Macaca fascicularis: one gene and its partner. The protein of the gene in region 1 interacts with the protein of each later gene in a biochemical or structural test. Links are inferred from orthologs where the notes say so. Each region holds a gene or a part of one and is shown in the gene's direction. Other genes may lie near its edges.

Region 1 (6,137 bases):
ATCCCAGAACTTTGGGAGGTTGAGGTGGGCAGATCATAAGGTCGGAGTTTGAGACCAGCCTGGCCAACATTCGAGATTTGAGATCAGGAGTTCGAGATTAGCCTGGTCAACATTAGTAGAGATGAAACCCCATCTCTACTAAAAATACAAAAATTAGCCGGGCATGGTGGTGGGCGTCTGTCATCCCAGCTACTTGGGAGGCTGAGGTGGGAGGATCGCTTGAACCCGGGTGGGTGGGGGCGGGGTAGAGGAGGTGGTGGTGGAGGTGGCAGTGAGCTGAGAAGTGCTCCAGCCTGGGCGACAGAGCGAAACTCCGCCTCAAAAAACCAAAAAAACCACAAGTCTATTTTTTCTCTCTATTATTCTACCTGACCTTAAGGGATACTAAGGAAAGGGTGAGAATGGTGTAGGAGATGTAGAACTCCCAGAGATGGGACGTTGAGGAGGAAGAAACACAAGAGCTTTCAGATTCATCTGTTATATGGGATAAAAGAAAAAAAGAAGAGCTTTCAGGAAAGATTTCTAAGGCCGCTGGAGTCACACCAGCAATTAATGCCTGACAGCAAAGTTACCCTTTCCCGGCTGTTGCTGAAATCTAAGGGATGATGATGAGGTGGACAAGGGAGCGTGGAGAAAAAGATTGAAGGGATATTAAGGAAGCAACTGACTGGACATGCTGAGACGAAGGGAAGAGTAGAGTAGATTTCGGCTTAGTTATCTGTAAGTATGCTGGCGCATTTCAGGAAGAGGGCAAAGAGGGGAGGTTGTTTGCAGGAGTTCGCGTTCGAATAGGCTGAGGTTGAGTTTGAGTTTGAGGTGCTCGTTGGGACAAGTAGTAGATTGAAGTATTCAGTAAGCAGTTAGGCACAAGGGTCTGAGCTTCTGAAACAAATTTGGATGTTAGTTGAAAGCATATAAATGGGTAAGACTCTTCGGGATAAGTGAAGAATTGGAGATAGAGAAGCAGAATCCAGCTGGACTCGCAGATTTAGAGATGGCATGGGGAAGCAGGATAAGAAAAGTCGGCGAGCTAAGAAGAAAAACGCAGGGCGACATTTTGAAAGCCAAGGGAGTAAGCTTCAAGGCCGCCTCCTGGAGGTCAAGAAGATGACAGATCTAGCCTTGGTCAAACTGAATTCCAAGGAGTGCAGGCGGGTGGGGGTGGGGCGGAGTCGCTGCGGGCGACTTAAGTTGAGGGGCGAGAAAGGAGGCAGCCTTAGTAGTACTTGTATTTTTAAAGGGAATTTGGCTGTGACGAGACAGAAAGGGCGGAACTTAGTAGTTTAGAGCTCAAGGGGATAATTGGCTTCAGAATCCCCTACTCTTGCGTGAGAGTAACTCTCAGTCTACGGATGTCTTCTGCAGTTTCTTAGGGTCCATGTTGGGATTTACCGGCTGTAAACTAAACAAAGCAAAGCAAAACCCCATAGTACAAGACATTTTGTTTGAAAGCCTACTTTCTTTAAAGATCCTGCCATGCAAATAAGGGGCTTTAATGTGGCTCTCAGCGATTGGTAGATACTTACGAAATCCGTCATTTCCTTTCAGGGCAGGATGCAAACCAAGAGGCGGCTTTCTGTTTTTCTATTGGCTGTTGGATACGGCTCCGCTTTTAGCCAATCAAACGACTTCCCTTCACCCCTCCCGGTAGCTCTTATAAATTACATCAAATTGGTTATTCTTTCCACATTCTTCTCCTTGTAAAAGAAGCTGTAACTGCAATTTTAGCCGTAATGTCAGGACGCGGAAAGCAGGGAGGCAAGGCCCGCGCTAAGGCCAAGTCGCGCTCGTCCCGCGCTGGCCTCCAGTTCCCGGTGGGGCGAGTGCACCGCTTGCTGCGCAAGGGCAACTACGCGGAACGGGTGGGGGCAGGCGCCCCGGTGTACCTGGCGGCGGTCCTCGAGTACCTGACCGCGGAAATTCTGGAGCTAGCAGGCAACGCGGCTCGGGACAACAAGAAGACGCGCATCATCCCTCGCCATCTGCAACTAGCCGTGAGGAATGACGAAGAGCTCAACAAGTTACTCGGGGGTGTCACCATTGCCCAGGGCGGCGTCTTACCCAATATCCAGGCTGTCCTGTTGCCCAAGAAAACGGAGAGTCACAAGCCTGGCAAGAACAAGTAATTAAGAGGCTTGACACCATACTCATTCACCCCAAAGGCTCTTTTAAGAGCCACCAAAGTGTCAAATGAAGGGCTGATCACGAAATAGCGCATTAGCTCTTTTTTTGAAAACTTGGGTGGCTCTAAAAAGAGCCTTTGGTCTTTGGTTTGTTTGTCTGCATTTATTTGCTTTTGGCTTTGTGGCTTTCAGTTTTCTTTGGTAACAGAACGGCCTGGATGTTAGGCAAAACGCCGCCCTGGGCGATGGTGACTTTGCCCAGCAGCTTGTTCAGTTCCTCGTCGTTGCGGATGGCCAGCTGGAGGTGACGAGGGATGATGCGCGTCTTCTTGTTGTCCCGAGCCGCGTTGCCCGCCAGCTCCAGGATCTCGGCGGTCAGGTACTCGAGGACCGCCGCCATGTAGACTGGCGCGCCAGCCCCCACCCGCTCCGCGTAGTTGCCTTTGCGCAGCAAGCGGTGCACTCGCCCTACCGGGAACTGGAGGCCAGCGCGGGACGAGCGCGACTTGGCCTTGGCGCGAGCCTTGCCTCCTTGTTTGCCACGACCAGACATGACTGAAACCAAGGTTAAACACAGACAATGCTCAGAACCTCGCTACAAAATAAGCTTGAAAGAGAACCAAGAGGAAAGCCTTTATAAGCTTTCCTAGGGGTGGGGTCTAGAACGAGTTTTTCATTGGTCCTAATATGGCTTCAGAACCGGCCAATCAAGTCAAGAGTCGGTGTTGTTGCGTACGCATTGCTGAAAACGCAAGGTCCGCACACGGACCAATGGAAATGAATGACTTTCGGAGCCCTAATTTGCATAAGGTGGTTATAAAAGAATCAGGCCCGCCCATTCTCTTACTTCTTTTCTTGGCTAAGCCGCGTTTGTACTGTGTCTTACCATGCCTGAACCGGCAAAATCCGCTCCGGCTCCTAAAAAGGGCTCCAAGAAAGCCGTCACCAAAGCCCAGAAGAAAGACGGCAAGAAGCGCAAGCGCAGCCGCAAGGAGAGCTACTCCATCTACGTGTACAAGGTGCTGAAGCAGGTCCACCCCGACACCGGCATCTCGTCCAAGGCCATGGGCATCATGAACTCCTTCGTCAACGACATTTTCGAGCGCATCGCGGGAGAGGCGTCCCGCCTGGCGCACTACAACAAGCGCTCCACCATCACGTCCCGCGAGATCCAGACGGCCGTGCGCCTGCTGCTGCCCGGCGAGCTGGCCAAGCACGCCGTGTCCGAGGGCACCAAGGCAGTCACCAAGTACACCAGCTCCAAGTGAGTCCCTGCCGGGACCTGGCGCTCGCTCGCTCGAGTCGCCGGCTGCTTGACTCCAAAGGCTCTTTTCAGAGCCACCCACCTAATCACTAGAAAAGAGCTTGTTCACTTACTCCCTTAGTTTCTTCTCATAAAGTAATTTTAGCGTAAAGGTCATGGGAAATGCCACACGTAGGTTTTTAACCATTTGGAACTTGAGGTCCCCGGTGCATGATTGGATTTGCTTTTGAATCTAGAGCGTGTCTTCACTCATTGTGCTGCTTAGCATTCCCAGGAGTCGGTTCTCAATTAGGATGTTGGGAATCCGCCTCTTTACCCGCCCCCACTCCCGCCCCACACTGGCGCCCTGGTGGCTTCTTGGGTCTGTTTCATTCTAAAACGAAGTGGCTGAGTTCGGCTGTTATTTAAGAGAACTCCAGGGCACGATTCAGCCCAGGTTCCGCAAACACTGCGTGACAGCTGTGTATGACTGACGCTTGGCAGCACCTTTTGTGTCCGGTCACCAGTTCTGCTGTGCGATGGGGTCTCCTGTGGATACCAGCCGTTCTGTGTATTTTGGACGAAGCCCGCGCAGCCGGGTCCCAGCCTTTTCCTGATTGGGCGACATGAATATTCAAAATTCTGCGCCTCTTTCTAATTTGTAGATTTCAGTTTCCGTCGTTCACTTTGAGACTTTGAAATTCCTATTTCTCGTTTTGTTGATAATTTTTGCATTTAATGGTCTCTGCTTTAAAGGGTAAGGCTGCGGCCCCAGGTCACTGCGAGGCACTTACCGTGTAGATACGGGCTCAAAAGTCACCTGTCAGAGATCTACGTCATCCACTAAGGAATTCGCGCCGCTCATACTTGCCTGTCTCATTTTATCTTCCTTCTAGCAGCTGTCTGAAATTGGTTCGTCTGTTTTCTTGTTTATGGTATTCTCAAGCCCTTGACCGGCTGGTGTGGTTTTCCCGTGCATCTTCAGCCTGGCACATTATGGACACTTACCTAAATACTACGTATTGATGTAATATTGTTGGGTTAGTTTTTCCATCCCATCGTTTTCTTAATCGCTTTCGTGGATGGATGATGGGTGCTGTTCATTTCCGTTAGATGTATGTGAAGGCACGGTGAAAATGGAAATGTTTTTGGAGCTACTTCCTCAAATGTGTCCTTAGTCACCTCAGTGCAACAGCTGGGAGGGGGCCGTGTTAAGATTTTTTTTGCATCAAAGAGGAGGTGGCAATGGTAGATCCACCCTTACGCTTCCCAGTTTAGCATAACCTCTTTTGGATTTTCATCAAATTCAGCGTATTGGTCACTGGAAAGAGCCTTTTCCTTCTTTTCTTACTCTCCCCTCTTGGTGTTCCCCTCTTAAAGGAGAGGAGCTTTTAATTGACAGTCATCACCTCATTTTTTTTTTTTTTTTTTTTTTTTTTTTTTTTTTTTTTTTTTTTTGAGACGGAGTCTCACGCTGTTGCCCAGGCTGGAGTGCAGTGGCGCGATCTCGGCTCACTGCAAGCTCCGCCTCCCGGGTTCCCGCCATTCTCCTGCCTCAGCCTCCTGAGTAGCTGGGACTACAGGCGCCCGCCACCGCGCCCGGCTAATTTTTTGTATTTTTAGTAGAGACGGGGTTTTTTTTCACTGTGGTCTCGATCTCCTGACCTTGTGATCCGCCCGCCTCGGCCTCCCAAAGTGCTGGGATTACAGGCTTGAGCCACCGCGCCCGGCCATCATCACCTCATTTGCTTTCCAGGAGGCCATGCAAGATAGGCAGGACTACAGGGTTAATCTCCTTTTTACAAATGAGGCCAAGGGAAGCCTCATTGGTTCACAGTCATGCAGCTCATACTGTCCACCCTTGTATTCTCAGATGCAGGACAATTGCATTTTAGTTTTATTTTGTGGAGGTACAGAATATTTACTCTTTCTGTCCAACCCTTGATTCTGCCGAGGAAGACACTGATGGTTTGATGAGTGATTCAACTCTGTTTTTGGCTAAGGGTTTTGGAGTTGATAGCAGGGGTCTGATGAATCCAAATGAGCTCTAGACATTATCACAGACTGAATAAATCTTTTTTTTTTTTTTTTTTTTTTTTTTTTGAGACGGAGTCTCACGCTGTTGCCCAGGCTGGAGTGCAGTGGCGCGATCTCGGCTCACTGCAAGCTCCGCCTCCTGGGTTCACGCCATTCTCCTGCCTCAGCCTCCTGAGTAGCTGGGACTACAGGCGCCCGCCACCGCGCCCGGCTAATTTTTTGTATTTTTAGTAGAGACGGGGTTTTTTTTCACTGTGGTCTCGATCTCCTGACCTTGTGATCCGCCCGCCTCGGCCTCCCAAAGTGCTGGGATTACAGGCTTGAGCCACCGCGCCCGGCCAGACTGAATAAATCTTAACTGTCTCCTACATGTGTGTTTTCAAATGTGTGTAGATGCTATTGTTATTAATAAAGTTACCAATTAAAGGCTTTGCTGGATTCTTTTATCTACAGTATATATTTCTCAATGAAGGAAATTAACAGATACAACTTACACAGGGTCTATAGAAAAGCATGGGTGCCTCTGATCTGGGGGATGACTATTTATAAGCCACCAGCCAAACTGCTGCCCCAAAGGTGCACTAGGGCTGAAATAGTCGCTTACAAGGCCACTGTTAATGCTTAGTAATTGAAAAATATATGATCACAAATAGAAAGCAGTACAAATAAGATGGAAGAACTAAAGTTCATAATGAAGTTAAGCTAACACCTACGGAGCACTTACTGTGTGCCAG
Region 2 (5,957 bases), on another chromosome or scaffold:
GGGGTACCATCAAGTCTACCTGAGTCTGACAAAGAATTAAGATCAGTGGTGGGTACTGTTGTAGTTCAGGGTGGGAGAAGGCCTCTTTGGACTGGAGATGCAAAAAGTGCTTTCCTGGAGTAGGTAGCTTCTAGGCCTGGCCCTAGAAGGATAGGTGGCAGGGATGTGGCAGACAGTATGCTTAGTGGTTAGGAGCTTGGATCCTGGTCAGATTGCCCAGGTTTGAATCCTGGCTCCCAATTTACTAGCTTTGTGATCTTGGGCAAGTAACTTAACCTCTCTGTTCTTTTAGTTTTGTGATCTATAAAATGGGGATACAGTATCTGCCTCATGTGTTGTGATGATTAAATGATATAATGTGTGTTACTTTGAACAATGTTCACATGTACTGAAGACAGTATGGTATGAACTTGATAAATATCAGCTATTATAATTGGGCTAGGCCAATCATTTGCAGCCATTTCAGACCCAGTGCCCCCTTTTTATAACAATGTGTATATTTAAAAACTCTCATTACTTTTTTGGAATGAAACTCACATATAATAAAACTTTTTATGCCTGTAATTTAAAAAGAATCAATATTGTCTGTGATGTGATGGAGAAAAGTAAAGATAATTTATAATGAAATAATATGACTTTCAATTTGCAAATAATTCTGCCTGACCCAGTTTGCAGACATAATGAAATAGATACCTGTGCCTGGCATCATGAATGAGTTTAGATTTAAGAGCTGTAAGAAAATCAGAAACTAGCCAAGCACAGTGGCTCATGCCTGTAATTCCAGCACTTTGGGAGGCTGAGGCAGGCGGATCACTTGAGGTCAGGAGATCAAGACCAGCGTGGCCAACATGGTGAATCCCCATCTCTCCTAAAAAAATACAAAAATTAGCTGGGCATGGTGGCACATGCCTGTAATCCCAGCAGGAGGCTGAGGCAGGAGAAGCACTTGAACCTGGGAGGCAGAGGTTACAGTGAGCTGAGATTGTGCCACTGCACTCTAGCCTGGGCAACAGAGCAAGACTCCATCTCAAAAAAAAAAAAAAGAAAGAAAGAAAATCAGAAACTATGCCATTTAAGAAATACAGTAAAAAGAATGAATGGACACTAGCATGAAACTGATGTTAAATAATAACAGGCCAGATTTATTTGTCTCTGATTACAGAAGGTGGGATATGATCTTGTAGCTTTTCCAAGTGGAAAGAACAAAGCAATATGATATTATTGCAAATGAGTTGGGTCTTATTTCTAAGTGGATTGCCAAATTCTTTTCCTACCTGGATGGGGTAGTGACAAAATGTCATGGAAATGTATCTCCTGTATTGCAATCTGATCACATTTTGAGGTATACTTTACATCTCTGGAGTTCTTACTTGGAACTTGTATCCTTTGATGGGTGATGGAGAACAGAGAATGGATTGCCAAGAAACAATGGGGACAATACTAGAGTAAGTTTGGAAGACAATAGGCAATTCCCCAAAAAGAATTTCCATGTGTAACTTTCACAGCATAGATTTCTTACCACGTGCTACAAATACAAATAATAAAAACATACGATGGTATTAATATTAAAAACTTATAAAGCAATTTTTATTAATGAAATTGAACAATATCCCTTTGTTTCAAGTATCTTTGGTGATTGAATAATATTTGGGTCAAAATCTGTTACATATATATGATCAGTTTAGTATTTCTGTAGCAACTGCATTTTTGCACTAAAATCCTTTTTACCTAAATGTGTAGTTGGAAATGCTACTGTAGAACAAGTCAGATGAGTAGATTTTTCAGTGATTTCTAAATAATTTCTTCATTCCATTAAGCTCCCCTCTCTAAAATCACCTCCCAAATCACTGGCCTTTTTGCATATCTCTTGAAAACATTTTTTTGGTATTATCTACTAAGGTGTGTACACAACCTGAGACATTTGAAAGATGTGCAGAATCTGCCACAGTTCCTTGTTGTACAGGACAGTTCTGTACTTTGCAGAATTGCTAGTGTCCCATGCCATTTGTGCTCACCAAACATTGTGACAGCTATAACATGTTCCCAACATGTTTACACAACTTCCTCCAGGAGATGATACTCCCTATTGAGAATCGCTAGATTTGACAGAGAGAAATGGCATAGGCATTTCAGCCAGGCTGAAAAAGATGGGCAAAGACTGAATTTGCTCTGCTCAGAGTTATAAAGGGAGTGTGGTTTAGCTGTTGTCCAAAGCACAAAGAGAAAGATCAGATTCATTGATTGATTCAACACATGTTATCCAGTACCTACTGTATTCTAGGTACTGTTTTGGCACTGTCACCATATAAATTGTCCACAGTATTTTTTACTTTATTCTTTAAGCACCCATTTGTCAAGAGTGCCAAAGGAGTGTCAATACTGCGAGACTTAATTAATGAAGCCATGGATGTGAAACTGAAACGCCAGGAATCCCAGCAGCGGGAAGTGGACCAGGACGATGAAGAAAACTCAGTGAGTGGCAGCCATTGCTGTGGGCCTCAGGCATTGATGCTTGTTATTTTATGATTGCCAAACCAGGTAAGATGAATAGGAGGTATTGGATCAACTTGGAGCTGGAGACTTCCAGCATAGCTATGTCCTAACCTGGACCAACTCATGCTAGAGGGTTGCTGTATCTGTACTTGTTCTTCTCCCAGTGCTTCCTATAAAACACCTTCAAATTTCACTCTTTTGCCCCCCCATCTTTTACTCAATTTAACTTTTTATTTAGAGAGAGAATGCTCAGGTCTGGGATTTGGCTTTTCATATCCTTTTAGGGAATCTGGGATCCATACTTAACATGTAGCTTTTATATTTATAGACTTCCTCACAACCCTGAGATTCCAAAGATGTTCACATGAGTTTCTTAGATCTATGTTGCAAAACTCTATTAAGAAGAGTGGAGGAAGAATTCCTTTAGGGTTAGATACAAAGCTTATTATCATGTGGATAAGTTTGTCATCTTTGCTTAAGTAACAGTGCTTTCATTTCTGGAAGGTGAGTTTAGGACCTGAGTAAGTGTTAAATGTCGAAATATTTTCACTAAGTAGTAGCTATTCAGAAAACTCAGCGTCTTTTGTCAAATTAGCCCCAATTTGAGATTGTATCTGTTCACAGGAAGAGGATGAAATGGATTCTGGCACAATGGTTCGAGCAGTGGGTGATGAGATGGGCACTGTCCGAGTAGCCGGCACCATGACTGATGGAGCCAATACTATGATTGAGCACGATGACACGTTGCCATCACAGCTGGGCACCATGGTGATCAATACAGAGGATGAGGAAGAGGAAGGAACTATGAAAAGTAAGGCTTATCTAAGTAAATCCACTGACTTCTCAGATCAAGCATACATATTTCAGAGAAGACAGATTCTCATGGTTTATGCAGGCTTAGCTTTGAGTTCTTTCTTTTGTCACAACCAAAGGAGTAGAAAACTTGGAGGTTTGCAATGGGGGCAGGAGGTTTGGGGAGGGGGAAAGCTGACCTGTGGAGTCAAAGTCAAGAAAGCATCAACAGTGAGAAAGGATTTTGCTTTTGAACCAGAACAGCCATTTTCTCATTGAATGGTGTCATTATTTTCCTTCCTTACCTTGATCTTTGGAAGCACATGCATTGTTTGATGCATAATTCCTATCAAGGTGTAATGACATTCTGAGTTATTTACTGTACATACATCTTCAGTTTATTTTCATGACAGTTTGGGTCTAACGCAAGTTTACCAACACTGTCAGTCAATGAAAGATGACTGGACAAGTTGAAAAGTTCCATCCAGTTTCTTCTACTTTAAACTCATCTCTGCTTCTTTCCATATCTGGCTGATCCTTTTTTGCCTGTAACTAGGCCTAACACCTTGTGTTCAGCTCCTATCTTAGAGTGAAATTCTTGTGTCATTCAGTGCTTGTGGTGCTTTATGTTTCATCCCTTAAACTCAAGATTAAGGCACCCTAGAAATCCCATGTTTGGTGATATACAAATTATCAACTAAATGCCATGTACTAGATTGCCCTTCTCCTCCTCTTCTGTTTTAAAAGTATGTTCATTTTGCAGTAATGAGTTACTGACCTCTGGTTCTTTTCATTGACTCTGAGTGCTAAATCATCTGCTTGTCTTAAGGGGTTTAATTATGTAGATGATTATAATCACTGTGCAATACAACTAGGCCGACCTGTTAGCATGTGTTGTGTATGCACGTGTTAGGGAAATTGTGCCCATTTTTATTCAAAGAATTAATTTTTTTCCAAATGTGATTTTCATAATTCAAATGCTAATTCAATGAGTTGTTTATTCTTTCCAGTTTCTGAACTTGGATAGTTTTAGCATGTCTAATGAGAAACATGCATCTTTTATTATAATCATGAAGAGAACTATTTAAAAACCTAAGCAGTCACAGTCTGAGTAACATTAAATAAAATTTGTTCACAGACAGTCTTTTGCAGGTTTTGTAATTCTTCCTTTTGGATTACAGATTTGACAGATTTGCCACTTATTTTGAGATTTAAAAAAATTCCTTATTGTTTTAGGAGTTACTTAAATTTGGAAAATTAAAACATACATACAATTACACAATAATATCATGACTCCTGTGGACCTATATCACTCAGCTTCAGCAGTGATCAACTCACTGCCCATCTTATTTCAGCCCACTTCACCAAAAAGCAAATAGTAAACACTCTGTAAAAGTATTCATTTTTAAGGCCATAAAAAACGGGGAGAGGAGGAAGGGGAAGAAAAGATTCTTAAGGTAATGGAGACTTCAGAGTCCTAATTTATAGGACATGCTATGACATCAGTGGTATTTTGGGTGAGATTTTTTTTTCCCCCAACGGCAGGACACATTATTGAAATTGAAGTGACATGAGAGGGTCTTTGTCAGTGTTAGGATCACTGTGCATTCTCTGGGCCAGCAGAGGGAGCTCTGTATTAAGTTAATGGGTTAAAATTGTGTTCCCATTCGAGTTCACAAATGCCCTGTATATAAAGGTAGGCTTTATGCTAGAACAAGACCATTATTTATTCATTTTTAAGTGTATTTTAAGTAACCACAGTGATATTAGGGCAATGTCTTTATTTTATTTAGTTGGGAGATTGGATACCTCATACTTGGCAAAGTTCAATTAAGAAGTCAGCTAAAACATCTCAAAATAGTCACTTTTTCTCTCCCTTCCCAGATTTCTCAGTGGACTTGACACAATTGGTGTTCTTTTTCTGTAACATGGTACCATGCATATAGTTTTGAAACTGTAATCAGCTAAAATGGCCTTACTTGAATAATTGAATAAATTTTTTAAAAACCTAGTAATTCTTAGTAGAACTGACTTGAAAGTTCTTGTGTAGAACTGACTTAAAAATATATATATACACACATACATATATATATATTTTAAGTCAAGTTGTTGGGAGCCAGGACTAAGGCTTATGTTACAGTAAATTACAGTAAAAGTATATATATTCCTGATATATATCAGGAATTTGTTTTTATTTACAATATGAGCTCTAGTAGTCTGTTTTATTTTTCCATCTGAAAGACTTGCTTCCTCCCTCTATCCAGGTCTTTGATCCTGTCACCTTCTCAGTCGTTCTTTGACCATTTATCTATAATAGATTTCCCATCCCCTTCTTATTTTTCTTTTCATCACAGATTACTTCTTGAAATTTATATCACTATTCTCCCATATAAATTTTTTTTTTTTTTTAAGATGGAGTCTTGCTCTATCACCAGGCTAGAGTACAGTGGGGCAATCTCAGCTCACTGTAACCTCTGCCTCCTGGGTTCAAGTGATTCCCCTGCTGCAGCCTCCTGAATAGCTGGGACTACAGGCGCATGCCACCATGCCTGGCTAATGTTTTGTATTTTAGTAGAGATGGGGTTTCACCGTGTTGGCCAGGATGGTCTCGATCTCCTGACCTCGAGATCCCCCCACCTCGGCCTCCCAAAGGGCTGGGATTACAGGCGTGA

Evidence for each region.
Region 2: of the proteins of H2BC21 (region 1) and STK4, one has a biochemical effect on the other in vitro, tested with the Homo sapiens proteins (2 studies listed by BioGRID). The link is inferred for Macaca fascicularis from reciprocal best matches to the Homo sapiens genes H2BC21 and STK4.

The regions. Positions count from the first base shown.
Region 1 is NC_088375.1:111,387,481-111,393,617, forward strand, and holds H2BC21 (histone H2B type 2-E), read left to right. Parts: upstream 1-2,968; 5' UTR 2,969-3,010; coding exon 3,011-3,391; 3' UTR 3,392-4,671; downstream 4,672-6,137. Other genes in the region: H2AC21 (histone H2A type 2-B), read left to right, coding at 1,734-2,126; H2AC20 (histone H2A type 2-C), read right to left, coding at 2,287-2,676. UniProt on the Homo sapiens protein: Core component of nucleosome. Nucleosomes wrap and compact DNA into chromatin, limiting DNA accessibility to the cellular machineries which require DNA as a template.
Region 2 is NC_088384.1:101,095,820-101,101,776, forward strand, and holds part of STK4 (serine/threonine-protein kinase 4), read left to right. Parts: intron 1-2,343; coding exon 2,344-2,472; intron 2,473-3,117; coding exon 3,118-3,304; intron 3,305-5,957. UniProt on the Homo sapiens protein: Stress-activated, pro-apoptotic kinase which, following caspase-cleavage, enters the nucleus and induces chromatin condensation followed by internucleosomal DNA fragmentation.